4 linked regions of the Notamacropus eugenii genome follow. The protein of the gene in region 4 interacts with the protein of the main gene of each other region in a pairwise test. Links are inferred from orthologs where the notes say so. Each region holds a gene or a part of one and is shown on either strand. Other genes may lie near its edges.

Region 1 (7,366 bases), about 350 Mb from region 4:
TGTCCCCCTTACCCCTTAGTGGTCCTGGCCAGGGTATGGGCATTGTGGTTGGAGCAGAGTCCCTGTCACCCCTTGCACTCAGTTTTGGGGCAATTCAGTACCCTGGCATGGGGACCCTGCATGAAAGGGCCCAAGAGGCAGACACCTGGAAAGGGCCCATTGGACATGCTGCCCACGAGGCAGACGCCTGGCCCTCACTGAGACAAGGAGTCGAGGCCTTTTCGGCATTATTCCCAATGCTTCTGCTTTTATTTGGAAAGGAAGTTGCAACAGCGGTGTAGATCCCATAGTTCTCCTGGTAACTTTTCTCCTCCTCCTCCCCCAGGTGTGTGCTTCTGGGGTCTATTTTAATTTACTTTAGTTAAACACCTGTTGTATAAAAATTCCCATCAGGCATGATAAATGGGAAGTCTGAATGAAGCCCTTGGTTCCATGAAGGTCTTTTAAGGGAAAAGAGAAAGGGGAGGGGGGACGAGTTTATAGGGTAGGCAAGTGTAAAGTGTAAAATATACATCACCATTTCAGAAGCAGACTTTGGGTTTTCTTTCTCCCCTGCTTTATTGGGGAGGACTTGCTATTGCTTTTATCAAGTGTTTGCTAGCCATGGATGCCAACTAACTTCTTCGATTGAAGGCCGGAGGATCATGTCTGGTTCTAGGAGCCTCTTGAGCAGGTCCTGGCATTCAGCCGAGATGCCCAGGTGCCCGGGGAAGGACACCCCCTTCTGCTGCTGCCACAGCATCTTGGGGATATCTGTGTCATCGAAGGGCAGGCTGGCGCACAGCATGACATAGAGGACCACGCCCATGCTCCAGACATCGCCCTTTTTGCTGTCGTGGGGGATGCCCTGCAGCACCTCTGGGGCAGCGTAAGCTGTGCTGCCACAGAAGGTCTGGCTCAGCTCCCGCCGTGTCTTGGGCAGTACCTTGGCAAAGCCGAAGTCAGTCAGCTTCAGGTTGTAGCCCTGCAGCAGGGCATTCTCACATTTCAGGTCTCGGTGGGCCACGCCACAGCCGTGGCAATAGCGGATGGCCTCCACCAGCTGGCGGAAGAGGGCCTTGGCCCGGCTCTCTGGCAGAGGCCCACCGTGCAGCACGCAGTCAAAGACATCTCCCCCCTCAGCCAGCTCCATCACCAAGTAGGTCTTACCGTCGGCCGACTCCAGCATCTCATACACCTGGATGATGTTCTTATGATCCAGGCTGCGGACGATCTGGAGCTCGCGCGGCAGGAACCTCTGGATAAATTCTGTGGGAAACGAGAGAGAAGAAAGTAAAGGGGCAGCAGCACGATCAGACAGTGAAACACACAGGACATGGACATGCAATCCCTGTGGTGCTGCCGCCCCAACTTCATACTGTGCTTGGCCTAGAGATGGGCTCTCTTCATAGCTGGCCTTCCCCTGGTTCAACCACTGCTTCAGCTTTCCAAAGTCCTCTCACGTGTACATCAGTGGGGAGGACCTAGGAGTTACACAGCCTCTCTAAGGCGCAAATTTCTTAATCAACAAAATGGGAGCTTCTTGCAACTCCCATTTTATGCCTCCAGGAAAGCAGCATGGAGCAGATAGTCCTGCAGTAGTCCCAACTCTTCCCTAGAACTAGCTGTGTGGCTTGACAAACTACTTCCCCTCTCTGGGAGTCTGTTTCTCATCAGTAAAATCAAGAGGGGGGGTCCATCTCTATGAGTGCCTGCACTTCCTACCTTACAAGGTGGTTAGGAGGATCAGCCTGGAGGGACCTTGGCCCTGGAAAGCACTTTAGAACCCGACCGCAAGGTCCTATATAAATGTAAAGTGGTGGCATTAGCCCAATTTCATAGATGGGGAAACTTGAAGGAGACAGTAGACCAAACCCAAGGTTATACACACACTATCGCTTATCGTTGCTTCAGGACCAAGTGCCCAGTCCCATTGTTTTCCATTAAGCTGGCCTTGTCCTCCTCCCCCTCCTCGGGCTGAGGGTACCTCTGCTTCTAGGACCCTTTAGAGCACAGGGCCCCTTGGCCATGATCTCGACACACCTGATGGGATGCACCAAGGAGCGAGGGGAGCTGCCACCTTGGAAGAGCCAAGTTGCAACGTCCATAACGCCGGAGCCTCCGGCCAACACGTGCATGAGCAGAAGAGCTGTAGGAAAGGAGCCAGCTCCCCAGGCTGCCCTCCTCCAATTTTGTGCACGTCCTTCCTCCTCCCCAGAAGAGGGGGCCGCCCCCTCCCATCCCTGCCCAGGCTGGAGGATCAGAGTGCGGGGCCCCCCTCCCCTCGCCCGCTCTCCAAGGTGGGGGGTGCTCCGACAGGCTCAGGTGAAGGAGAGAAGGCCCGTTCTCACCTTCTGGCCCTCCCATCTTGTCTATAATTTTAACTGCCACTTTTCTTTGATGTTTTTTGGAAAATGCTTCCTTCACTTTTGAATAGGTCCCTTCCCCAATGGTCTTGCCCAGCTGGTATCCATTGGAGAGCAGAAAGTCCTCCATGCTGTCTCTCCTCCTTCCTTCCCCGTCACCGCCTCAGCTCATCCTGCCTCTGCGAGGCAGCTCTACTCCACCATCGCCGTCGGCCCGCGCCTCTCCCCCCCAGGACTTCATCCGCAGCCGCCCCCAGCGCTAGAACATTCTCCGTCCGGACACAGCCGCGGGTGGGGGAGGGGGCGGGGGCCGGACAGTTTTAAACTCGGGCCCCGATTGTGATGTAAACTGATGTGGCACAAGTGACCCGGGGGTGGGGGGGGCGGTGCTGCCCCGGCTACCAAAATGGGCAGTGCCCCCCTCGCCCGCCCCTCGGCCCTGGCATTGTCACCATCGCCCGGCCAGCGGAGAGCTGCGGCTGGGCCAGCCCGTGCCTCGGTGGGCGCCTGCAAGAGCAAGATCGCGGGCTGCCGCCGTCCAGCGGGGCCGAGACCGAGCGGAGTCCGGCCGCGCCGACCCGCGCCGCGGGAACGTCTATGCCCGACCTGGACGCCGCCCGGCGCCCCCGCAGCGTGCACAGTCCCGGGCCGGCCGCCCCCGGGGCCCCGCGGCCCTCCCGCCACGACCCGCCGGGGCCCGCCCGAAGTGGCGGCCCGACCCGCGCAGTCCCGCCCGAGCAGTGAGGGTTCCCCGCCCGGAGGAACGGGCCCGGGGCGGGCCGCGGCCCCCCGCCACTGTGAGGTCAGCGCGCCCGCCCCGTGGGTCACAATGCAGCCCGCGCCCTCGACGGCCCGGTCCCGCCGCGCGCCCCGCCCCGCTGCCCCAGACACCTGCCCGGCTACCCCTGGACCAGAGCGTCCTCCCGCGGCCAGGGCTCGGGCAGCTGTTTCCCGCCTGGGACCGGCTCCGGCCTCCAGCAGGTGAGGATCCCAGGCCGGAGCGGGCGGGGACGAGCGCGGGGCCGGGGACGGAGGTCCGGGGCTGGAGCTGAGCGCAGCCTTGCTCCCCGCAGAGCTTCCCGGGGCCCGGACATGAGCGCCCAGGAGCCCCCGCAAGGTCGGAGATTCCCCATTGAGGCCGGAGACTCCCCCGGCCTGGCCGCAACCCCCGAGCCCCAGGACAGCGCGGAGCCCGTTGCTACAGAGCACACCCCGGTCAGGTGAGGGCTAGAGGGGCGCCCAGGGCGCGGTCCGACCCGTGTCTTCCTTCTCGCCCCCTCCCCGGGCCATCCCGGCATAGGACTTAGAGCTGGGGGGGAGGGGGAAAGCATTCAGGTGTCACCCGTGCCCCGTCCCTATTTGGCAAGTGTGAAAACTGAGACCCAGGGAAGGGCCAGGCATAGGACCGGGATTCGAACTGGGAGCTCCCGACTCCAAGTGCAGCCGTACTGGACCTCTGCCTGGGCCGGGAGGTTCTAACCCCCAACTTGTGCGCCCCCTCCCCCCTTCGCCTCCCTCCCCAGCAGGCCACTGCGACGCTGCCCTGGCTGCCACTGCCTGACGCTGCTGCACGTGCCCATCGACGTCTACCTGGCAATGGGCGGAAGCCCCCGGGCCCGCGCCACCTGAGTGCGCCTGCGCGACGGCTCCGAGGGGGCCGGGCAGGGGCGGGGCCGGCCGCGGGGACACCGCGCTGAGGTCGCGCGCGCCGAGCACGAGACAATGATGCACATTTTAAAATAAAAGAATGATGCACATTTTAATAAAAGCACAGCTTACACTGTTCTTTACAATCCGGGCTGGCTGCGTGTGTGTGTGCGTCTGTCCGTCTGTCCTTCAGCCCGGCCGCCCTCCCCCGAAATTCAGGGCAATGCCAGGCAATGCCAGGCGATGCAGCTCACCAAGCCTTTACAGTAGCCACTCGCTGCGTGCAGGGCTTTGTACCCAGCCGGGGCAAATGTGTGAAACGGTCCCTAAAGGAGCTTGCCAACCAAGGCGGGATGGGCACGAGGGACCACATTGAAAGTGCCCTGAAGAAGCAAGTCCTGGACAACTGGAGGGAGGAGAGAGTGCTGGCAACGAAGGGGCATTATCGCAGAAGGCTCCCTAACAGAGGAAGCACCCAACTCCTCCCCCTTAGAATAGGGGTTCTCAAATATAGTAGGGCGGGGATGTCCTTAGGGTCTCTGAGACGCTTTGATGAGTCCAAGAGACAAAACTATTTTCATAATCATACTAAAACTTAATTTCTCAAAAAGGTAAATATTGATAACTCTAACCCACATAAACAAAAGCTGAGGTGGGAGGAAAGGCCCACAATAGTTTTTAAGAGTGTAGGAGGGGCCTGAGACCAAAAAGTTATAGGATGCCAAGCCTGGGACATAGTCTGGAGGGAGGGAGATGCCCAGGAACCAGTCAGTGGGAAGATAACTGAAAGGGAGTATGAAATAAAGCAGACAAAGTAGATGACAGTCTTTTCTCTTTTTTCCTTTCCTCCCTCTAAAAGTTTTTTTTCACTCCCTTTTTCTCTTATTTCCCTCCATTCTGGTTTTCCTCCCCACACCTCTGAACTTCAGTTTCCTCTCTTGTCAAATGAGACCTCTAAGATTCCTTCCCACTCAAAACTCTGTGATCCTACTCCCTGTGGTCTCCTTTCCTTTCCCTTCCTCCTTTCCTTTCCTTTCCATCTAGTTCTTTGTGCTCTGGGGGACACAGGAATCAGACCCTGTTGTCTCAGATGGAATAAATCCCAGGAAAAGGGGATGACTCAGACTCAAAGTCCAGACTTGGAAAGGACTTTAAAGGTCCTGCCTCTATCTGAAGAAAGATGAGACTCTGTACTCTGGGGAAGAAAAAGAGAGCACATACAGCTAGGGGAAAGAGGAAAGGAAGGAAGAGATGAGGGAAAACTTCTAGGTGGTATTTCAATAGGTCCTTGAAACTATGAGCAGGGTTAAGGACCTATATTTTGACAGTATTTTTTGAAATAGTTGAATGGATAATGAAACCTCCAAACTATAGGCCACTGAACTTGATTTTGATTCTTAGTAAAATTCTAGAACCTGTTCACCTAGAAAAGGAAGTGGTCAGGCATTACAAAGAACCACACTACAATGATGACCTGACTCACCACATTTCCCTTTCTGACCAGAGCTATTGAACTGGTAGGATCAGAAGAATGCTCTGGATAAATAGCACAGCATTTGGCAAAGTCCTTGTGGACTAGATGGTAATATGATTAGATCAATTTGGAACTGGTTGAATAGAGCGGCCACCAATGATTTGACATCAAACCATTTTAACATCAATAGGAAGTTCTCTCGTGACTGTCTAGTAGAGTAAGGAGTCTGCTTCAGCCTGTGCTCCTTTATATTTTAATGATCCAGATAAAGGCATAGATTTCATGTTTATCACATTTTCAGAGGGCACAAAACAACCCACTGGATGACAGAAGCATGATCCAAAAATATATTGACAAGTTAGAACACTGGGCAGTCATACTTGTATCAAAAAGTGGGGAGTATACATTGAGAAATCATTGTAAGTTTTTCATGTAAAGCAATGTAACTGGCATTAATTTAGTTGTGACTTTTAAAAAATGATGGTTGTGACAATGAGATGAATGCAAAGTTCTACACTTAGGTTCAAAAAATCAATGTTACAGGTAATGATAACAGTAAGAGCTTAGATTTATCTAATACTTCAAAGTTTATAAGGTTCTTTAGACTCATTTGATCCTTAAAACAATCTTCTGATGTAAATACTATCCTCATTTTATTAATCAGGAAAATAAAGCTTAGAGAAGTTAAAACTTTCCCAGTGTCATACCAAGATATGAGAAGAGCAATGGAAGACATAAATGTCTTCCAAGTATTTGAAGGGCTCTCTTGAGGCAGATTTGAGATGAGTAGATGGAAATTGCAAAGTTATAAATCATGTAGGTATCTCCACTCAATACAATCGTAACAATTAGAACTATCCCCCAAATAAAATAAGCTTCTATGCAAAAATATTTATAGCAGTAATTTTTGGCGTGGCAAAGAACTGGAAATGTGTGCCTGCCTGTTGGAGAAATTATAAAGGGGAAGGTTTCAGAGATACCTGGTAAGACCTGTTTGAACTGATGCAGAGTGAAATGAATGGAACTGAGAGAACAATGTATCCAGTAATAACAACGTTGTAAAGACAAGTAACTTTGAAAGACTAAAGAACTCTGATGGCCAACCATGATTCCACATTCTAGAAGACCAGTGTTGAAGCATGTCTAATGTGGGAATTGGTTTTGCTCAATTATTAATATTTGTTACAAGGGTTTTGTTTTTCTTCAGTGGACAGGGGAGATGAGAGAGATGGTTATAATGGGGGAGGGAGGGTGATGACAAAAAAACGAAATGGGATGCCTTGGGAGGGATGATTTCCCCTTCTAGAGGGAGATATCTTTAAAGTCTGAATCATCCTTTGTTAGAGGTGTCAAAAGGGGGATTCCTCTTTAAATAAAGGTTTGGCTTGATCACTTCTAAGGTCCCTTTCTGCTATGAGGTTCTGTGACTTTTTCTCTCTTCATTCTACCTCCTTTCAACTTTTCTCCCCCTTTTCTATTTTCTCATCTTGCCTATTTCTTCTCTCCCTTTTCCATTCCCATCTTCTCTTCCAAGTCCTTCCTTCTTGTATATAGTATGTCCTGGGCAATGGAGATTCAGAGACAAAAACAATCCCTGCCCTAAGGAACTTCCCTTCTCCTCCTCTTTTCCTCCTCCCCTGTCTCCTCCCATCTCTTCTACCTCTTCTCCATTCTCCTTTTCCCTCGTCTCCATCTTCCCCCTTTTTCTGATATCTCACTCTCTGTGTTTCTCTCCTTTCTTTTCATCTTGCCCTAGGTTCAAATGAACTCTTCTGTCCTTTAGCCTTTCCCCTCTGTTTCCCAGGATTGAGGTGTGGGGTTATCTGTTCCAAAAACAGGGCAAGACATTTGGAAGTCCTCATAGGAGTAGGGGAGAGAAACCTAGGAGGGGAGAAATATC
Region 2 (7,302 bases), on a different chromosome or scaffold from region 4:
ATCTCTACCTTCCCTGTCTTATCTCATTCCTCACCTCCACACATTATACTCCAAAGGGATCTATGCTGCCTCCCCAAAACCTGACATGCCCTCCCACCTCTGCCCTTTCTCAATGTTTCTTGTGGCTGGATTCTCTTCCTTCCTCATCAGACATCCTATCTATCCCTCAAGCCCAGCTCAAATGGCACTTTCGCCATGAAGAAGCCTTTCCTGATACTCCTGAGTCAAGGGTCTCACAGAACTTTGTTCTGCTTCTCTTTAATACGTTTATTATGTAGAAGTAGGCCTGCATATGTGTCCAATATCCTAGTACACCATACTTTCGGCAAAGGCAGTGACAAGCACTTAAATGTTGGTGAATTGAATTCGACGAACTCACCTTCACACTCCCCTCCCCCAGGACACATCGTGACCCACCTGGGAACAGCCTATCCACCCCAGGGCACAATCTGCCCAGCCTGAAGACTCACCTTCATCCTGAGCAGGACACGTGTTTTTGATGAAAGCTGAGAACTTGTGGAAGACATCGTTACCGGCTATGTTAGATTCCTTATAGAGAGGAACCAGGCTAGGGTAGCTGAAGGATGAAGACAGTGTCAAGAAACAAATGGGAGACCCCATGGCTCCTTCCTGGGGCCATAAGCACTTTCACCTGGTGGTGGTGGTGGTGTTCTCCCTCCCTTTCTCCCATCAGCATCCCCCTGTTATCAAACCTCAAATATACTCCCCTCCTCTCTTTATGCTGCCTAAGTTATTTTTAAATCACTTAGCATGTTGCCTGATATATAGTAGGTGCTATATAAATAATTATTCCCTTACCCTGCCCTTCCCTTCAGCCGCAGAGGAAAACTAGAGAAAACAGACTTGTGGGAAAGATAAGAATTGCCCCTCATCCCCGGTCCTGGTTGGGGTCATCCAACAAGCAATTTCTATTTTCCCATTCAGACTTCCCTTTTAGACATGGGAGAGCATGGGAAATCTCCCCTTCACCTCTCCAAAACATACCTCCTTCACCTGCTGCCAATGCCTATGACTCCCCCCTTGGGATTCCCCAAGAGGAATAGAGCTATCTTCCATGACTACAGGATTTGTCCTTTATTAAAGGACAAGACCCTCATTGGTATGATTAGACAGTGACTCAATGCTGTCCTCAGTAAAGAATCTGCCTTGGAAAAAATATGATCAGATCCCTCCCTGAGAGTAGATCTGAATGGGAAGAGGAACCAGAATTGGGGTAATAAATAGAAAGCAGCACTTTACTATAAAGCGAAGAGTACAGGGGACCTGAATTCAAATTCAGATTCTTCCACTAACCACCCACGTGACCTCGGGTAAGTCTCTTCTTCTTGCTGACCCCTGCTTTACTTCTCTGTAACAGAAGTGAGTCAGACTATATGATCAGTTAGATATATCCAGCTCTAACCCTCTCTGACAGCTGCTCCATTGCTCATTGATCCTGCTTCCTGGCTGTGCCCTCATACCCACCACTTGGACTCTTACGTGGGTGGCCCCAATGCCTCTTCCAGGAACTCTTCAATCTGGATGGTATCTGTCTTGGCTTCCCCATCACACAGCAGAATGGGCAGCTGGGAGCCAGGGGCAAAGTCCTTCAGCACATCCAAGGACCTGTAATGGGGTAGGGCCAAATCTTTGGCACAGGGAAAGTGAGCATGATGGGGACCAGGACACAGGACAGGTAGCCTCAGGTAGAAACAGGCTAAGATGGTGGGAAAGGTGGGGTATAGTTTTCCTCACCCCCAGTTCTAGTCAGTCACTCAGTCTTTACCTCTTGGTGTCCACAGTGGTGAGAGTGAAGGGGACACCTTTGAGCAGCAGGATCATGAAGAGCCGGTGGCAGGAGGGACAGTTCCCTACACTCTCACCATCTTCACTGGCCTAGGGGGAGGCAGAAGAGAATTTACATAAGCCTCCGGGAGAGGAAAAGGGTGGCAAGATTTGTATCCAGTTTGGTGAGAGAGAATGCAGGAAACCAGGTCAACTCTGGCCATTGGCAGGGGACATGTTTCCAGGCCTAAGCAGTGCCCCTCACCCACATCTTTTAAAAGAGGTTCAGGGGTGAGGACAGCCTCTCAAAATCAACAGGGCTGGGTGGGGCTTCTTTCAAGGGGGAGGTGAGAGCCCTTAAGGGGTAGGAAGAATAACAGTCTGTGCGACTTGGAGCCTGGCACTGTGCCCACATGGGCTGTCATGGCGCCAGGGAAAGGGCCACACCCCAGGGGGGGACACAACACTGACACCAAGGAAATGGGCACATGCTGTTTCCCCATCAACTGTAGGCCCCTGGGCATCATCTCAGTGTCACCAGGCAGACGGGCTGTACAGGGTGGGGCCCAGTCCAACTCTGACCAAACTGTTTTTTCAATGATTCACCTTATGGCATTGGGCACTGCCAGTGGAACATTATGGGAAGAGCACGCCCACTGATGCCCACAGTGGAGTAAAGCCTAGAAGCAGGAGCCTTCAACCTAGGATGCTTGGCCCAGATTCTGAGGATGTGGTACTCCTGCATTCCACCTTGTCCCTATCCTCTGTTGTGTCTACCCTGCCCTGAAGTTCATGCCAGGGTCTGCAAGTGATGGTGGACACCTTCTAGGATCACCTGCTGTAGCATAATTCCTTTATCTTGGGTACAGGGTGGACACAAATCCATGTGGCATCTTCTTTGTGCCAACCATCACAGAATACTCCCACCCACCCCTGGTGAAGGCCACAGCCTTGGTCTGGGTATCTAGCAGGAAGGCTTCTTCCTATATATAGAGTATTAGTCCTGCTGCTTTACCCAGTCAGAAGGATAATTGTGCCCTGGAGGCAGTGAGAGTTGGACAGGAGTTTGAGCCAGGGTCCTGATCAAGGTCCCCCCATGGGGGGTAGATAGAACTGAGATCCAGACTCCTGGGTTCTGTCGTCTTCTTTCACTCATTTTTTTCTCAGAAGGTGTGTGGCTATGGGGACAAAGTATCTCTCTTCAAAAAGCTGATACCACTTGGTTTTAATCCTGCCTTTGGCAGAAACAGTCTCCAATGCATCTGCTCCCAAGTCCTTCTCCCAGTTTTCTCCTTCCCTTCGATCCCATCCACCATCCTAATTCTAGCCAAACCCCGATGTCCTGGACAAGCTACTTTGAACCCTAGGCTAGAGAACCAGTGCTCTGGATGTGAAAGTTGGTCATTTGTGGGGCTGCCCTGTCTATTGGGAGAGACTGGAGCCTCAGACTTCTGGGATCATGGTTATCTACCCGACTGTGGACTCCCTGGAGGCTCTCTTTCCATTACCCCACAGCTTGTCAGGGTCCACTCTGATTTCTTTGGGGAGGAAAAGAGGGAAGGGGGTAGAAAAGTGGAGAAGGAATAGGGAGATGGTGGGAGGCGGGGAGACTCAGCCACTCCTTCCAAAGACTCTGCACCTGGCAGAAAGTAGTTCCCACTGTCCTCTGTTCCCAGATCCCTCTCCCTGACCTTCATCCTCCTCATCTCAACCTTCTTAAAACTCTCTCAAAGCATTCATTTCCGTTTTCAAACCACCACAACACCTCCCTTCTTTTCTACCCCTACCCCCCCCTCCCAGCTCTGTTTCGAATCGGGACAGAAAACTACAGTTCCCACATTCAGACAGCCCTCCTGGAGTCTCACTCACACCCCTGTTCCCTGGACACTGTTTCCTTCTCCCTCCGACCCCCCACCCCCGATCCCGCTTCCCCTCCTCCCTGGGATGGGTCCCCGGCACCTTGACAAACAGCTGCAGCTGCGGGTTCTGGGCCATGGTGTCCGGCAGGATAGAAGCAGCCGCCCTGGGTGGAGACTGTGTTTTGGGCTCTTTAAAGCTCCCGGGTTGCTCCGCCCTACCCTACCCCGCCCAGAAGAGCAGCTCAGTGTGCTAGAGTCTGTGTAAGACCGGGTGCCTGACCCTGTGGGGGAGGATTGTGAGCCCGGGAAGGGGGGGGCGAGATTGCCCAGTTGTGGGATTCCAGGGTGACTTCGAGTCTATGGCTACTGTAAAGAGCACGCAAGGGACTGGGACCTGGGCTGGTGGCTACCAGCCAGCGGGCAAAGAAAGGAGACCAATTCTGCAATTCCAGCACCGGGCGGGTGGGGCCTTGAGAGACTGCGTGTCATTGCTGGGAGGTGGAGAGTGTGCCTGTGACTGGGTCACTGACTTTGTAAGGGGGATCGGGGTGAGTGGTGGCAGGTACAGGTACAAGAGGTGAAAAGGCTCAGCGCTTTGGGAGTGATGAGTAGGTGACCCTATTCCATTTCTAGGACCAGAGAGAGAGAGAGAATGGAAGAAAGCGGAGTCAGGGCAGCCCTCAACTACCTTCCCCCCAACTCAATCTGAACACCCAGAGTGGGAATTGGCAAGGACTTGGAAAGTCAGACTTCCCTCACTGCCTCTCATCCCAAGCAGGCACTCCTCCAAAAAGCTGCCTTTCTGTGGTGTCCAGTCTTCCCGGGGTCAGGCCTGCCTTAGGTGGGGCCCCTCCTCTGAGGTGTGGCAGGTACATTCCTGGCATGCTCATAGTGGGGTGGGCAGAGGGGAAGTCGGATCAACTCTTGGATTTGGGACTTTCATCCTCCATCTCCAGTTGTCCATCCTCCCACACACAGAAGGGTTCTGTGTTCTTAACCTCCCCAGGAACTGATTTCTCCAGCTCCCACTCCTACACACACACACACACACACACACACACACACACACACACACACACACGCACACACACACACAGAGCAGCATCTTTGACTGATTTGATATTTTCCCTTTTTATTTAAAACAAACATCTTTCCCGATCTGCTTCCCCAACTATGTACAAGCCCAGTCCCTCACCTGCCCTCAGGCAGGGCTAGGGATGGGATGAGGAGGGGAAGGGATGGGCAAATAGCTGGGAAGTGGCCATGGCAGTTTGCTCTCAGGAAGGAGTGGGGCCCATGTGACCCCCACACTGTCCATGCCATTACCAAGCCTCTCCCTCCCCCGTCCCTAATGTAACAAAAGGTGATTGGAGGCCATTCAGAGGCAAAGGTCAAGCTCTTTAGACACCAGGTCCTTCCACCCTCTTCCTTTGCCCACAGCCTTCAGGGTTCCTGGGTGCACAGGCCCTGTAAAGGAACAGGAACTGAAGGATGCAGAGAATGCTGCTTTCAGCCTTGGAAAGGGGAGTTCCCCTCCTTTTATTTCCCCTACAGTTGTATCCAAGCTGCCAATGTGTCATTCTACCATCTGTGTACACACTTTCCCTCCATCTTCCCCACCCCTGACAAGTGCTTCTTCCTATTGCAAAATAAATAGGTTAAAAAGAAAACAACAAACCCAACATCCCACTTAACCCTGGCCAGAGTCAATGACTTGGGCCATGGTGGTTGGGCAGGCTAGCGGGCAGCCCATTTGGTATCCAGCACTGGAGCCTCTGGGTGGTGGCGGCATGGCAGCTATGGCAGCATTAGCAGAGGTGTTATTAAAATCCAGGGGGCAGAAGAGTCGAATTTAGGGGGAAAGCAGTTATCTGTCCATAACCCCAGCGTGTGCGCACATACACACACACACACACACACACACGCACACACACACACACACCACACACCCCTCCTACCCAGATGCCTGATGAGCCAAGAAAGTATTGTGTTACACAGGTCCATCAGGATCATGTTCTAGAGGGTTAAGACCACAGAGGAGACTCATGCCCCTCTTCCTCCACACAGCTTTCACGTTTTTCAAGCCTTCATGTTAACCTCCAGGTATATTTCCTGGGCTGTCAAAGTTCAGTCTTTTTGTGGCCATCAGTGCCAGTGGGGATTCTAACCACACGCGAGATGAGTGGCACTGACCATCAGAAGCAGAGCCAAGCAGGCCAGGCTGAGATCAGGGATAGGACTATCAGAGTCCAGGGAAGTGAGCAGAGTAACTGGCCAGAGCTGCTGTGACTGTAAGGCAGAGCCACATGAGTGCCCAGCCCACACCCTGGGGCACAGCAGGACTGTCCCTTTGGCACAATCATTGGTTGGAGATCCTGAAGATCACCAGGCAGGTTGGTCCTGGAGGGGCACTGGCTGGGCCAGAGAAGGGGAAAGAGTGGGTATGGTTTTTAGTATTCACTCCAGATTGGGGTACCTGGGCTATAATGTAGTTAGAAGATTCCCCATCTCTAAATCTGAGGTCTACCAGAGTGAAGAACTGCCCTTGCTATCAGATCCAAGCCTTTTCCCCACCCTCCAAAGCTCCTTTAGGATCCTGGGGTGGGTTCTTGTGCCTAGCTCTTGGCACTGTCCACACCCACCAATCTCCCCAACTCTACCGCCCTCTAAAACTAGCTCCAAGTTCCAGGCACTGAATTCAAGTTGCACGATATATCACCAATTCCTTCTCCCAACCCTCCTGGGTGGGGGAGCTGGGTGGGTAGGCAATGCTAAGACCTCCCTCCCAATTGTCTGGCATTGAATCTCTGTCCCAGCCAAAACAGGCCAGGGAAGGTAGGGCTGCTCTAAGGAGGTTTGAGCATAAGGGGACAAGAAAGTTGGTTATCCAGGAATGGAGAGCTGAGGCCTCTGAAGTTCCTTCAGCAGAGAGTGTCTGTATTGAAAGAAAGCTGGGCCTGTTGGGAAGAGACAACAGGGTTCGGATGGTCAGACTTCCAGGCTTGATTTGAGTCTTTCCCTCTCACTTCCTCCTCTGTCACTTTCTGTTAAATTGTCATCAAATCAGCCTATTTGTCTCTCATTCTCTATCTCTGTCTCCCTTGATCTTGGAGTCCAAAGACCTCTGTTTTTGAACATGATTTAAGCTATGACTTTGGATCTCTCTTAGCCTCTCTATCATTCTCTATCCCTGGGTCTCTGTCCCTCTGTCCCTTTCACCATCTCTGTCTCTAGGTGGATTGAATGCATCAGGCAGAAGAGAAGATAGGGAGGGAGAGGCCTCAAGGGGCTGTTACTATAGTAACTACTAGATTCTGCCCTTGGCCCTGAGCCCCAGACTCTGGGGGTTAGAGTGCCCATAGCAATGTGAACCCCACCCACGGCACACTTGCCAAAAAGCCCAAGCCTCACCCTCTCCTCCTCGAAACTGATAAGCCCCTCATCATCCGTATCGAGGTCCTCCGGTTCATCTGTTACCAGAGCACGGAGCTCTGTGGGTGCAGGACGGGGTCGGAGCAGACTGAGCAGCCGAGCCAGCGGGGACTGCAGTGCACAACCTGGCTCTGTCTCTTGGGGCTCCAAGTTATCACTTTGCTTCTTGGCAAAGTTCACGAATACCTGGGGTGGGCAGGAAAAGCAGACTGGGACATGCTGTACC
Region 3 (7,721 bases), on a different chromosome or scaffold from region 4:
GCAAATGCTTAGTGAGCCCCTCTCTGCTCCATTCCACAGTGACAGAAATGCCTTCTAACTGGCCGTCTGGCCCCTACTTCCAAATCATACTCCAGGTACGATTTCAGCCACTGTTGATGCTACCCCAATCTAAACACTCTCATTGAGGAGATAGGACACACACAAATCACTACCACCCTGGGCACTTGCTGTAGGACATGTATCATATAAATGGTATTAACTATACATGATCTAGGAATCAAGAGGAAAGAACCCTGTGAATGCCAGGAGTCATAAAAGGTTGAAGGGATACAGTAGGTAGCTGGATTTCAGCTCAAAGACTAAGCCAACTTGGGAGGAGGCTCAAATTCCAAGGAAGGGAAAAAAGATGAGCAAACCTGGAGGTGGGAAACAGAAAAACCAGAGCCTTGTTACTTGGTATAAAGTACTATTAAGTGGATATGGACTTCACTCTACATGGTAGCTGTATTCACCCCTTGTAAACAAGTGGAGGCCATCAGTCTATCATAGACCTTGCAAGGGGCAATCTGTACTCCTGGGATAGATAGGTTCTAGAGACACAAAATCAATACTGACAGAAGGGATCTGAGTAGAAACTAGACATGGGAAGAAATCATATCCTGAGTCTTTCAGTACTGTATCCACTAATGAAACAAAACAAAGCACATGGAATACTTTGTTTATTTTAAAGTAGTCACATTCCTTTCCAATCTAAAACACAACTTCAAAGACTACAAAGTACTCAACAGTCATAATCCTACTTTTTAGCTTAAGTAATTTCAGAAATGATGCTATGTTATAAACAATAACAGAACCTGCAAACTGGAGGCAGGACAGGACCTGAGGGTAGAGATCCATGATACTTGTGTAGTCCACACAGAAAAAATATACAAGTCACAAATTTGCTGCTTCTTCATCACAACTAGGACAAATATCTGACCATGTGTCTTTCATGCTCAAAAACCTTAGGGGTTCCTAGTGCCCATAGGCAAAAGCACAAACTTCTGGCCAGGCATTTATACCCTCCACAGTCTTGCTCCCATCCAGCCTTCTCAGCTTTATTTTGTACAAACCCTTTCAAGAACTCTACATTCTAGCCAAACTAGTGTTGCTCCCTTCACTTGATCCCTTCTCTCTTCTGTGCATTCATTGCCTCAGAATTTGGCATTCTCCAAGACTTAGTTAATGCGCCAGTTCCTCATGAAGCCTTCCATGATGCCTTTGCTCCCTGGATTTCTTTGCCTCCTCAATTTTCCTCTACACTTATCTGTGTACAAGCTGGAAGATAGAACATAAGCTTGAGGGGAGAGATTGTTTTATTGTCTCGAACATACTAGGCACTTCAGGTCTACACAAACAGCAGCATAATTAGCTGCACCATCTTGGACTACCAAGGACTATATAGAGACCAAACAGAGACTTGCTCCTGTATATATAATATGTAGCACATAGTGGTCTTCTTTGGAAAAATCATGTATTTTCCACTCATCTGGAAATCTGTTTCTCTAGCTAAGAAGAGAAAGATAACATCCTGAATGTCATTACTTTCAGTTTCACGGATTCGCAAACTGTAAAAATTATCTCATAATCCACTGCTGGACAGCTGGTTATTAGGAAATCCTTCATTACAATGAGCTGCTATCTGCCTTTGATAGACCCAGATGCTTTAGAAATGGAAAAGACTGTAGAAATCATGTAGTTCAACTCCCTGAATTTTGCAGATCAAAGATTTCAGAGAGTTTAAGTGACCTGCCTACTTTAAGCCACACAGTCCTCCCAAAATGTAAAGGGTCATAGTTACAGCTCCTCCCTCCCCCCCAAAAAATGAAACCTCATTTTCACTTCAAACTGAGAAAACCTCTATTAAGGAGCTAACTAACAATGCTTAAAGCCACACTTCATAAAACAGGAATGACTTAATTTCATAATAGTGACAACAGGCTCTGATTAATGTGCATATAAAAGACAGCTAGTCAGCTAGTGGTGCAGTACATCGCTGTGGAATAAGGCAGAGCTAATGAAAAATTAACTGGCCCCTGTCAAATACAAACTCTGGTGTGAATATCAGTCACCACGATCAAATAAAGTGTCCAGTTTAGTCATCCCTTTAATTCTACAATAAATTTCCTAAGAAAGCTGGAATCATATCTTTCATAATTTAGGAATAAACTATTTCACGAGTGAGAGGATAATATGGAATAACACACCCAACCACTATGGAGTCAAACAAGAATCTCAGATCTGAGCAAAACTTTGGAGATGCTTCATCAGTACCACGTCAGGAAGGGAGCAGGGAAACTGTTTGGGGGGGAGGGGTGTCCACATGGAGCGGGCCCAGCCCCTTCCCCACCCCGCCCCAGGTGTTAGGAATTTCACGAGTAACTTCTCCCCTCCTCGGTCCTCGCCCGGCATGGGTGCAAGGACCTATCCCTTCCGAAAGGAGTGCGTGGTTCAGGGTTGGGAACCCCAGGGCCCTTGGGGATCTCTGGCTCCCATTCCAGCCTCCGGGCCCCCCCGCAAGCACCCCTGCTCAGCCCACGGGGCCACGGGCGGCTAGGGCTGGAAGGAGGGGCCACAGAGAGAAACTCGAGCCCCTCGCTGGGGAGATAAGGACACCGACGGTCGTAGAGGAGCAGCCACCCGCCCAGGTCTCGCAGCAAGACGCCCCCCTCGCAGCCCAAGCCTCGGGTGCTGCGCCCCTCCCCCCGTCCCCCGAGGCCCGCGGGCAGGAGGGAGGCGGGCTTGGTTCAGTACGGTCGGTCGCTCTCGCGCGGCCTGCCCGCACCTGAGGTCCGGCCACCGCGCCGGACTGGGCCGGGCCTGGGGCCCAGGCGGGGGGAGCCCGAGGGGCAGGGAAGAAGGGAGGGCGGGAGAGAGAGCGAGCCGAGGAGGCCGCTGCCTCCGCACCGCCCCACACACTTACAGACCCCAGCGCCGCCGCCGCCCGCCGTCGGCCGGAAGTGCCCGAGCGTCCCCACGCCGACGTCATGCCGTCACATCCGCCGCGTCGCCGGGGCAACCGGGACAACGGCCGCCGGGAGCGGGGAGGGCTACGGGGGCGGGGCCGGGGGCGGGGCTAGACGAGCGGCGTGGATCCCAAAACCTTCCCGGTCGGTTGACCCCATCTTCTACGTGCTTCGTGTTTCTTCATCTACCAAATGGGCGCAGTAACCTCCTAGCGTGGTTGTGGGAACCAAACGAGAGACTCTAAAGTGCTTCCAGAGCAGTGGAAACGGTGATGAGCGTGATGGTCTATGTGGGGGAGGAAGAGGATAGAGCTGGGCGAGACCTAACAGAGTCCTGAGTTCAAATCCAGCCTGGGCTTGAGGAGTGATGGGATGAACTCTATTCCCTACAGAGCCCCCTCCCCGCACCCCATTCCACTTTGTGACAGCTCTAATGTTTATATATGTGTTTACATAATGTATAGTCCTAGTGGTGATGAAATTTTTCTTTACATTTGCCTTAATATACCTCTTTGCAACTTTTACGCCCTGCTTCTAGTTCTGCCTTTTAGGGAAAAGAAAAGTCAAATCCTTATTCCTTGAGATAGCCCTTTCCAAAACTCCCTACCCCACCCCCAGTCTTCTATAGTCTAAGCACTTCTAATTCCTTCGGTCTATCCTCATATGGCATTTTCCTTTTTAAAAAACATTTTATTTTACTATTTTAAACATTTAAAAAAATTTGAGTTCCAAATTATCTCACTCCCACCTCCTCTACCACTCACTGGGAGGACAATCATGATATCAATTATATGTTTGAAATCATGCAAACCTTTCCATATGAGCCTTATCACAAAAGGAAAAAAAAAGAAAGCAAGAAAATTATACTTCAATTTGCCTCAGAGTTCATCAGTTCTCTTTCTGGAGTTAGTATTTTTCTTCATGAATTCTTTGGAATTGTCTTGGAACATTGTAATGATCAGAGTGGCCAACTTTTTCAAAGCTGATCAACATTACAACGTGTAGCATGACTGTGAGAAATTAATATTTCTCATATTTAATTATTATATTAGGACCAGGGTTTTTCCCCTTTTCTACTTCCTCATCCAGAAACCAACCAGTGTGGGAAATCCCTCTTAGAGATTTACCGAGGCCAAGATTTAATCAGACAGTAAAAGAAATTCTAAGTTTGGGCTGATAGATGCATTTTTGCTCACTGTGTTTGCTCTGACAGATCTAGGGAAAGGTTGAGTCCCCCTATTATCAAGACAGGTGATATGGAAATTGATATATCTTTGACCAAGATTTGAGTGAACTTTTACCCCCAAGATTTTCATTTTAATATAGCCCATACCTCCCATTGTGTTAACCAAACAGAGCTGATTAGGCACCCCCTCAAGAACACTGATTCTTCAAAGGGCATGTAAACTGTGAGCCTACCACCATGAGGGATCTTTGGTCTAAGAGAGCTGGCCAAATGGCCATCCTTTTATTTTTTTATTTATATTATTAAATTTATTATTACTTTATTCATTACACCTTAAAGGAACCCTTGTCAGGACACTCTTCGGCTTATCATCCATCCTATATTGTGGTGCCAGTACTGCAGACACAGTCTCTCCTGGCTCCATTGCCTCCAATAATTCAGGGTGCTAGCCTGCTGGTCATTGACACTGAGCTTGTAGTTCACCAAAACCCTTAGATCTTTCTCAGACAGACTCTGCCTAATCTTGTCTTTCCAGTGTATATCAGAGGCAGAATTGGAACCCAGTTGTTCCTGTCTTTGAGGTGGTTCTCTCTCCACTACACCATACTGCCTCTCCTGACACACAGTAGGAGCTTAATAAAGTCTTGTTTGTTGATTAATGATACTTTCAGGAACCCATGGTCATATCTTTGTATACACAGAAGCCTTAACAAGTGAAAATTGTCTTAAAACTGGAGGAAGTTACATTGTTTTCATTGAGAGAAAACAAACACTAGACTGAGCAAATAATGGAAAGGTGTGGAGTTTCCATCTCTGAATATATCCAAGAAGAATCCAGACAGTGAGACACATATTCCCTTTCCAAGAGAGTCAAAGAGGTCTGAGATGGCTGATGCGCAGAGGCTTCCCAGCTCCAAGGATTCTGTATGATGTCTGCCTTGCAGTGATGATATATTCCTGCTTTGATCAGTTTCACACTCCTCTTTCCCACCTGGGATTTCCATTCCCCCTGACAGATCAAGCTGCTAGGTAACACTACACCTTTTTCTATGATACTCCCAGACTTATGCTTTACCCCTGTCCTGGGGCTTAAACAGTTCCATGAATCCTGAAGAATCCAAGTCCCTAGTTCTCAGGCAGGCCTAGGGACTTGCATGCAGACTTGGGAGTCTCCCATGCTAATGATTTATGTGCCTCTGTCCTGCAAACTAGTAATTAAAACTTGCATAACAGTGATCTTACCCTAACTAGCACCTCAACTGGACAAAGCATCAGCCTGGTTGTCTGTAATCTAAGTGTTCCAGATAACTTGACCTATGTCCAGTTTTATCCCAGTTCCCTGTGGTTATAGTTCACTGTTCAAAAAACAGGGACCAGCAAAATGGGTACATGATTTAGATATAAAGAGTGATGCCATAAGCAATTTAGGAGAGCTGGGAATAGTTTACCTGTCAGGTCTTATGAACAAACAAGAAATAGAAAGCATTCCAAGATGTAAAATGGATAATTTTGATTATATTAAATTTAAAAAGTTTTGCACAAAACCAATGCAAGCAAGATTAGAAGGAAAGCAGAAAGCTGGGAAACAATTTTTACAGCAAGTGTTTCTGAAAAAAGGCTCATTTCTGAAATACATAGAGAACTGAGTCAAATTTATAGAAATACAAGTCATTCTCCAATTGATAAGTGGTCAAAGGATATGAACAGGCAGTTTTCAGATGAAGAAATCAAAGCTGTAGTCCTATAAAAATGCTGTAAATCATTATTAGAGAAATGCAAATTAAAACAGTTCTGAGGTACTACCTCACACCTATCAGATTGGCTAATATGACAGAAAAGGAAAATGATGAATGTTGGAAAGGTCATGGGGAAAAAGGAACACTAATGCACTATTGGTGGAGTTGTGAACTGATCCAGTCTTTCTGAAGAGCACTTTGGAACTATGCTTCAAGGGCTATAAAACTGTGCATACCCTTTGACCCAGCAGTACCACTTCCAGGTCTGTATCCCAAAGAGATAAAAATGGAAAAAGGATCCATGTTTACAAATGTATAGCAGCCCTTTTTGTGATGGCAAAGAATTGGAAATTCAGAGGATTTCCATCAATTGGGGAATGGCTGAACAAGCTGTGGTATATGAATGTAATGGAATACTATTGTGCTATAGGAAATGATGAGCAGGCAGATTTCAGAAAAACCTGGAAAGACTTACTTGAACTGATGCTGAGTAAAGTGAACAAAACCAGGAGAACGTTGTACACAGTAAGAGCAACATTGTGGAATGATCAACTGTGATGGACTTAGCTCTTCTTGGCAATACAATGATCCAAGACAATTCCAAAGGACTAAGGAAGGAAAATGCTATCCATATCCAGAGAAAGAACTATGGAGATAGAAGCATACTATTTTCACTTGTGTGTGTGTACTTTTTTACAGATTGTTTCTTCTTTCACAATATGACTAATATGAAAATAGGTTTTACATGATTGCATATATAATCTATATCAAATTGCTTACCATTTTAGGGAGGGGGGAGAATAGGGAAGTAGGGAGAAAATTTAGAGCTCAAAATTTTATTTTAAAAAATGTTAAAAATTGCTTTTACATGTAGTTAGGAAAAAAAACTATTAAAAAAAACCAAATCAGGTTATAAAGCAAAGGGAATGGGAATGAGATATCATTCCATAAGCCAACTCCTCCTTTCCCTGTAGCCACCAGAAAAGAGAAACTGCAAATGGTCAAGTGCCTCCTGATCCCTGTGTCTTGCGCTTGAGCAGCATCATGTTCTCCAAGACTGACCACATCACTGTCAAGCTTTAGACCTATCAGTGGCTCCCTGTTATCCCTAGGATAAAATACGAAGTCTCTGGTCATGGTGGACATTGAAAGGCTATGTGCCTTTCTAGATTTGTTTCATATTTCTTCCTTTCACGTGCTCTATCTGAGCCAAACTGGCCCATTCAGGTCCCTGAACTCAATATTCCACCTCCAGTATCTCTTGCCTTTGCACAGACTACTCTGCTTGCCTGGAATCTGCTTCTGCCTCACCTCTCTACCTCATCAAAACAATAGCTTCTTTCAAGGGCCATCTTGGATTACTTGAACTTACTCCCACTTCCAGAGCTCTGAGATCAAGCTCACCTGCCTTCTTTCTGTTGCTCATACCTGACATTTGAAGGTCCCTTTGTACAAGTTCTACCTGCTTCCCCCAATACACGTACAGAGAGACACACACTTAGTAGAAAGTAAGCCTTTTGAGAATGAGAACTTTCATTTAGTACCTTATATGGTTGTTTTCTATGTATGTATGTGTGTGTTTGACTAAACCTTTAGTTTCATTAGTGAAGGAAATTCCTAGGGAAGGAATTCCTTCTACTAACACAGCAACCGGTCAGCAAGTTATAGTCTTTGAGAGTAGCCAGAACCAATAGAAATATAACTGGCTTGCTAGGATCAGCTAGACGGTATGAGTCAGAGATTGTGGTGGTTGTTTGTTGTCATTGTTTGTCCTTCATTTCAAAGACAACCAGTGATATCACAGGTGATTTCTTGACTGATTTGTGAATTGGA
Region 4 (7,359 bases):
TCAATTCCTGCATCTGACACACACTACCTGTGTGACTTTAGGCAGTTCATTTCTCATTGCTCCAGAAATCTCTGGAAAAATACGAGGGGAGGAGGAAGCTGAGGTCTAGACTCGGTCCCACAGCTCAAGGCTCAGCCCTCTTCCCACTGCACCATGCTAGATCAGCTGTGAAGGGCATTCCTCACACTGATGAAATCACAAGATTTTTACAAAACACTCTCCTCTCCCTAAAAACAATAAACTTTACATATTGGCATTGGTCCTAATTTTATACCCATAGAGCAAGGTAATGATGCTACAAGAAAGAGGACAAAGGTTTTCATTTACTGATAATAATCAAGAGGCTTAATCTACTGGCCATTATATGTGGAAGGCTTACTTCCACACCTTAATAATTCATATTTAGTGTGTTATTTTCCCCTGTTTTACAGATGAGAAAAATCAGGCTCGTCATACTAGCTAATAAGCATTGGAGGTAGGAACCAGGTATCCTGATTCCAAGTTCAATATTCTCTCTACTAAGTCACAGTGTCTTTATCCAAAATATGAATTTTATAAATATTACCAAAAATATAAAGAAGTACACAGCAGTACACTTAATAACAGGACAGAAAGACGAAAATTCAATTACATTGAAATAGTGAACACACAACAAAAATGTTAGATTGTGAACTCCTTAAAGGCAGGGACTGCCTTTTTCCTCTTTGTGTATCCCCAGCACTTAGCACAGTGCCTGGAACATAAGAAGTATGTACTTAATAAATGTTTACTGACTGTCTAACTATTTGGAATGATTCATTCCCCGAACTATTGGACAAGTAACCTTCCATTTCCAAGTCCCACAATAAAATCCTGCTGGCCTCAAGCAAAAAGTTAATAACTGAAATGTCTTTTAAAAAATCAAATTTACTACAGGCTTTCAGATTAAAAAAAAAATTTCATCTTGACCCACAACACTTTCCCTTTCCACATATTATAACATCTGTAAATGCTAGACTAGGCCTAGAGGACCCCTAAAATAACTTCATGTTATTATCTTTGGAGGATGGTGTTGTCCATTTTTATCACAATGACATTTTAGACCCAAGATCTTTTTTCATGCTCTGGTCTTTTATTATTGAAATAGATGTTTTAATTAATTAGACTGAAATGAAGGCCCATGAAGTTTTCAGGATGTCATTTTATATACACAGAGGATCCAAGAAGATAATGGATTACAAAGGACAGAACCAGATATGTGCGTAAAGGCAAATATTTAACAATATTAGTCTACCCAGGGGGTACAACACACTGTCCATAAACCATAAATCTGAATGTTTCAAGATGAAACCTTTCTAACATAAGTTTTTTATAAAGTAGCTTATACGTGCCTTTTTTTCTGTTACTAGATGGTTGACCATTACCAGAAGAAAAAGTTCAAGAACAAACTCTTCTGTGGAGGAAAAATAAAAAGGATAGAGGATAAGAAAGAAAAAAGGGAGATGGAAGGGAAGAGAGGAGGAAGAGGATGGAAAAGAGCAGGGAGAAGATAGGGAGGCAGAGGGGAGGGAAGAGTGGGAAAGGGGAGAAAGGGAAAGGAGAGAGGAAAGAAAAAGAAGAGAGGAGAGGTGAGATAGGGAGAGGGAGACCAAGGAAAAGAGGAAGGAAGGAAGGAAGGAAGGAAGGAAGGAAGGAAGGAAGGAAGGAAGGAAGGAAGGAAGAAGGAAGGGGAAAGAAAAAGAGGAGAGGAAGAAAGAGAAAGAGGAAGGGAGGGAGAAAGGGAAAACGGAAGAAAGGAAGAATGGGAGGAAAGGAGGGTAGAGGAAGGGATAAAGGGGAAGGAAAAAGAGGAGAGGGCAAAAGGGAAAGAGGGAAGAAGGAAAAAAGAAGGGAGAGAGGAAAAAAGGAAGGAAAAAAGGAAGGAGGAAATGAAGAAAAGAAGGGAGGAAAGATGGGAGAAAAGGAGGATGGGAGGAAGGGAGGAAAGAAAACAGGAAGGATGGGAGAAAAGGAAGGTGAGAGAAAGGGAGAAAAGGGAAGGGAAAAGAAGAAGAGAAGGAGAAAGGGAAAGAGGAAGGAAGAAAGTAAGGATGGATGGATGGGAGAAAAGGAGGATAGTAGGAAGAACAGGAGAAAGGGAAGGTGGAGGAAGGAAGAAAGGGGAAGAGGAAAGGAGGGAAGAAAGAATGAAGGAAAAAAGAAGGAAGGAAAGGAGGGAAGGAAGAAAGGAAGGAAGGATGGGAGAAAGGGAGAATGGGAGGAAGGGAGGGAGAAAGGGGAAGGAAAGAGAGGAAGAGATGGAGAAAGGGAAAGAGGAAGGAAGGAGGGAAGGAAGGAAAGAAGGAAGGAAGGAGAGAAGGAAGGAAGGAAGGAAGGAAGGAAGGAAGGAAGGAAGGAAGGAAGGAAGGAAGGAAGGAAGGAAGGAAGGAAGGAAGGAAGGAAAGAAGGAAGGAAGGAGAGAAGGAAGGAAGGAAGGAAGGAAGGAAGGAAGGAAGGAAGGAAGGAAGGAAGGAAGGAAGGAAGGAAGGAAGGAGGACAAAGTACTTTTTCATTCCTCTTATGTTAATGTATACAGCCGTGACTTGCACAGATGGCACAGAGAGGTGGGGGGCAGGGCTGCTCGGGCATGGGGCGAGCCCACCAACACAAGGGTGGCGGTAGGCTTTACGTGTGCCCCTGCTGACTTTCTCTCACCACGTCGCATTACACACCTAAATCACGTTGGTTCCCTCTGCCCTGGGGGCGCTGCGGCGTTGTGAGACACAAGGAGAGAAACTGAGAGATATTCAAACAACCAAAACCAGCCAACACGCCCCTCTGCCCACGCACTCGGCTGGCAGTGCGCCCGCTCCGAAGAGCGGGGCGGCGGCAGGGCAGCTCGGGGTGGGTGTCCCCCGGAGCATTAAACCGCTCCTGGGGGTGGGCGTTAAGGAGCAGCTGCAGGAAGCCCGCGGTCGTCGCCGGCGTGGGTGCCCTCCAGTGCCCGGCTCCTCTCCGCAGCATGCCCAGCCGGGCCTGTGCCCCTTCTTCCCCAGCCAGCTTTACTCACGTTCTTGTTGAAGGTATATCCCGGCAGCAGCGGAAGGGACATGGTGCGGGGTCCGGGCAGGGCCGAGAGGACGCTGCCGAGAGGCTCCCCCGGAGGCAGAGAGTGCTTAGCGTCCCGTTGCCTAGAGACCGCCTCTGACGTCACCGGGCTGAAGGGGGCGTGGCCTCTTTGGGGAGATTGGTCCCTGACTCCCGGACATGGGCAGGGCTCGGAGGGATTCGTGCCCTTCTGACCCATGCCAGCCTTCCAAAGTTCACTCCGCACTGACTTTCCCAGCTGTGTGTCCCTTCTCCATGTTTGCAAATGAAGCCATACAGATGTGCTCTTTGTAAACCTTAAAATGTGTAAATGTTACTATGTATCACATGATGTGTCAATGTCTGTTGTAATTGTAGAGTTCATTTATTGCCATTATTATCTTATCTTACTCATTCCAGCAACAGTATTCCTCCTAAACATGCGAACGCATCCAGGCTTTCTATCCACCCACCTATGCTCTATAATATAAGCTCTTGGCTCTTAGTAGATGCTTGTTGACGCTTTTCTATTAATTTTCTCCATTTTATCCTGGAGATAGCTTGATTGTACATAGCTGTTTGCATATCGTCTTTTTCCATTAGACTGTGAGCTGGAGAGCATGGATAGTCTTTTACCTTGTAAAAGGTATCTCTTACAACGTATCTAGGGCATTGAGTGCAGTACTTGATACATAATAGAGTTTTTATTGACTGACTCGACTCACACAAACGTGTAGGAAGATTCCCAACTTGTACTTGCACAGACCTGCGTCCTGTGATCACAGGAATATCATGTTTCATCTACACAAAACTGCTACATATTTAATAAATCCACTCGTGGTCACTTTGGAGTTCCAGTCCCAACTATCTCTATTGGATTCTTCCTACTGGAGCTCTCACAGACTGCTCAAACTCAAAATGTCCTATACAGAATTTATCTTTCTCCTCAAACCACCCTTCTTTCTAAATTAGTTCAGAATCATCTTTGACCCTTCGCAGACCTTCCCCCTCCTCCTATATCCAATCAGTTGCCAAGTCCTATGATCTTGTGTTCCCTTTCTCTCCTTCCATATGGTCATTACCATATGGAATCCATCATTACCTTTCACCTGGATTATTTTAATTGCCCCCTGATTGATCTCAAGTCTCCACCTTCTCCAATTCACCATCCACACATTGGCCAAAGTATCCTAAACCAGGAATATAATCATGTTACTCTCCTGTGCAAAGAATTCTAATTCCCCCCGTTGCCTCTAAGATAAAATAACTTGTACACTGGTATTGATAGCCATTTATAATCTTACTCCCATCTACTTTTCTAGGTACTTTTCTACCTTGTTGTCCATTACTCTCCTTTATGCCCTCTGTCTTCCAGTCAAACTGACCTCTTTGCTCCCACTTTCTACCTTTTATAAAAAATATTTTTTCAATTTTGTGTAAAAATTTTTAACATTCATTTTTTAAAATATTGAGTTCCAAATTCTCTCCCACCATACCCTCAACCCTCACTGAAAAGGTGAGCAATTTGATATAGGTTACATATATACATGCAAAAGATATTTCCATATTAATCATGTTGTGAAAGAAAACACAGCTTCTCTTTCCCTCCGAAAAAAACAAGAAAAATATAAAAAATATTTTTTAAGTATACTTAAATCTGTCTTCAGACCTCATCAGTTCTTTCTCCAGAGGTAAATAGCATTTTTTCATCATAAATTCTTTGGAATTGTCTTGGATCATTGTATAGCTGAGAATAGCTAAGTCATTCACTGTTGTTCATCATGCAATATTGCTGTTAGTGTGCACAGTGTTCTCTTGTTTCTGCTCACTTCATTTAGTACCAATTAATGTAAATCTTTCCAGGTTTTGCTGAAAGCATCTTGCTCACAATTTCATATGGTTCAATGGTATTCCATCAAAATTCTCTACCACAACTTCTTCAGCCATTCTCCAATTGATACGCATACCCTCAATTTCCAATTCTTTGCCATCACAATAAGAGGGACTGTATTTTGATACATAGAGGTCCTTATAAAATAAATCTCTTTGGGATATAGACCTAGAAGTGGTATTGCTGAGTCAAAAGGTATGCACAGTGTTATAGTCCTTTGAGTGTAATACCAAATTACTCTACAGAATGGTTGGATCAGCTCATGACTGCACCAAGAGTTCATTAGTGTCCCAATTTTTCCACATCCCCTCCAACATTTGTCATTTTTCTTTTCTCTCAAATTAGCCGATCTGACAGGTATTACTCAATACCTCAGAGCTGTTCTAATGTGCATTCCTCTAATCAGTAGTGATTTAGAGAATTTTTTCACATGACTAAAAATAGCTTTGATTTCTTCATTTGAAAACTGCCTGTTCACATACCACCTTCTGCCATTTATCAGTTGAGGAATGACTTTTATTCTTAAATATTTGACTCATTTCTCTTATATGTGAGAGATGAGGCCTTTATCAGAGAAAATTGCTATAAAAATATTTTTTTTTGCTTTCCTTCTAATCTTGACTACATTGGTTTCATTTGCACAAAAAAGCTTTTAATTTAATATAATCTAAAGTATCCATTTTACATCCTGTAATATTCTCTATCTCTTGATAGGTAATATAATTCTTTCTTTATCCATAGATCTAACAGGAAACCATTCCATGCTCCTCTCATTTGCTTATGGTATCACCTTCATGTCTAACTCATGTACACATTTTGATCTTATCTTGGTACAGAAGTTCCCAAAGTTACTTGGTCTTTCAAAAAAAAATTACAAAGTGCCCCCCTGGCAATCTACTTTCTTTAATCCTTTCATGGTTTGTTGAGTTTTTCCTACTATTGTTTTTAAATTTTCATCATTTCAAAAAATACCTCCCTCTGGATTCAGGGGACAGTATTGCCCACTTTGGGGACCTATGGACAGCATTAAATGTCATTCTTTACCTACTTTCTGTCAAACTTCTTTCCAGTCTTCCCAACAGTGTTTTTTTTTCCAAATAGTGAGTTTTTCTCCCCAAAGCTTGGATCTTTGCATTTATCAAACATTAGATTCCTATGGTCATTTACTACTGTGTATTGTGTACCTAGTCTATTCCACTGATCCACCAGTCTATTTCTCAATCAGTATCATATTGTTTTGATAATTACTTCTTTGCAATACAGTTTCAGATCTAGCATGGCTAGGCTGTCCTCCATTTATTTTCATTAAAATACCTTAATATTCCTGACATTTTGTTCTTCCAGATGCATTTTGCAATTATTTTTTCTAGCTCTATTAAATAGTTTTTGGTAGCTTGATTGGCATGCAGCTGAATAAGTGAATGAATTTAGGTAGAATTGTCATTTTTTATATTGACTCAACCTACTCAAGCAATTAATATTTTTCTTGTTTATATCTGGCTCTATTTGTGTAAAAAGTATTTTGTCATTGTGTTCTTACAATCCCTGAGTTTGTCTTGTCAGGCAGACTCCCAAGTATTTTATATTGCCTATAATTATTTTAATTGGAATTTCTCTTTCTATGTCTTGCTGCTGGACTTTGTTGGTAATATATAGAAATGCTGATGACTTATATGAGTTTATTTTATATCCTGCTACTTTGGTAAAGTTGTTCATTGTTTCAACTAGTTTTTTTATTATTAATTCACTAGGACTTTCTAAGTTTGCCATCACATTATCTGCAAAGAGGTATACTTTTGTTTCCCCATTGTCTGTTTCTATTCCTTCAATTTCTTTTTCTTCTCTTATTGCTATAGCTAGCATTTCTGTAACAGTAACGAATAACAATGCTGATACTAGGCATCCTTGCTTCACTCCTGATTTTCAGAGAAGACTTCTAACTTAATCCCTGTTATAAATAATACTTACTGATGATTTTAGACACTAATTTTCATTTTAATCTAAACTCCATCTATTCCTGTGCTTCCTAGTGTTTTTAATAAGAATGAGTATTGTATTTATCAAAAGGTTTTTCTGCATCTATAGAGATAATCATATGATCTTTGTTGGTTTTGTTATTGATACGGTCAATTACACTGATCATTTTCCTAATATTGAACCACTCCTGCATTTCTGGTATAAATCCTGCTTGCTCATAATGATATGTTGTGATATAATGCTATAATCTGCTTTCTAGTATTTTATTTAAAATTTTTACATCAATATTCCTTAGGAAAATTGGTCTATAGTTTTCTTTCTCTGTTTTTGCCCTTCCTGGTTTAGGTATCAGTATCATCTTTCTGCTGTAAAAAGAATTTGATAGGATTCCTTCTTTGCTGATTTTTCTAAATAGTTTATATAGCATTGGAATTAATTGTTCTTTA

What was found.
Region 1: the proteins of EFHC2 (region 4) and TSSK3 interact in binary tests that used the Homo sapiens proteins (3 or more experiments, as listed by UniProt). The two-hybrid records come from large-scale screens. The link is inferred for Notamacropus eugenii from reciprocal best matches to the Homo sapiens genes EFHC2 and TSSK3.
Region 2: the proteins of EFHC2 (region 4) and CLIC3 interact in binary tests that used the Homo sapiens proteins (3 or more experiments, as listed by UniProt). The two-hybrid records come from large-scale screens. The link is inferred for Notamacropus eugenii from reciprocal best matches to the Homo sapiens genes EFHC2 and CLIC3.
Region 3: the proteins of EFHC2 (region 4) and EDC3 interact in binary tests that used the Homo sapiens proteins (3 or more experiments, as listed by UniProt). The link is inferred for Notamacropus eugenii from reciprocal best matches to the Homo sapiens genes EFHC2 and EDC3.

What each region holds. Positions count from the first base shown.
Region 1 is NC_092876.1:77,515,252-77,522,617, forward strand, and holds TSSK3 (testis-specific serine/threonine-protein kinase 3), read right to left. Parts: upstream 2,587-7,366; 5' UTR 2,476-2,586; coding exon 2,331-2,475; intron 1,249-2,330; coding exon 587-1,248; 3' UTR 534-586; downstream 1-533. Other genes in the region: protein FAM229A, read left to right, coding at 3,175-3,326, 3,419-3,565, 3,869-3,974. UniProt on the Homo sapiens protein: Serine/threonine protein kinase required for spermatid development and male fertility.
Region 2 is NC_092872.1:493,021,224-493,028,525, forward strand, and holds the start of CLIC3 (chloride intracellular channel protein 3), read right to left. Parts: upstream 3,075-7,302; 5' UTR 2,942-3,074; coding exon 2,801-2,941; intron 1,897-2,800; coding exon 1,787-1,896; intron 1,627-1,786; coding exon 1,501-1,626; intron 578-1,500; coding exon 471-577; intron 1-470. Other genes in the region: ABCA2 (ATP-binding cassette sub-family A member 2), read right to left, coding at 6,566-6,601, 7,056-7,262. UniProt on the Homo sapiens protein: In the soluble state, catalyzes glutaredoxin-like thiol disulfide exchange reactions with reduced glutathione as electron donor.
Region 3 is NC_092872.1:241,459,045-241,466,765, reverse strand, and holds the start of EDC3 (enhancer of mRNA-decapping protein 3), read right to left. Parts: upstream 3,010-7,721; 5' UTR 2,928-3,009; exon of another isoform or gene 2,924-2,927; intron 2,202-2,923; exon of another isoform or gene 1-2,201. UniProt on the Homo sapiens protein: Binds single-stranded RNA. Involved in the process of mRNA degradation and in the positive regulation of mRNA decapping. May play a role in spermiogenesis and oogenesis.
Region 4 is NC_092876.1:429,907,982-429,915,340, reverse strand, and holds the start of EFHC2 (EF-hand domain-containing family member C2), read right to left. Parts: upstream 3,150-7,359; 5' UTR 3,071-3,149; coding exon 3,029-3,070; intron 1-3,028. UniProt on the Homo sapiens protein: Microtubule inner protein (MIP) part of the dynein-decorated doublet microtubules (DMTs) in cilia axoneme, which is required for motile cilia beating.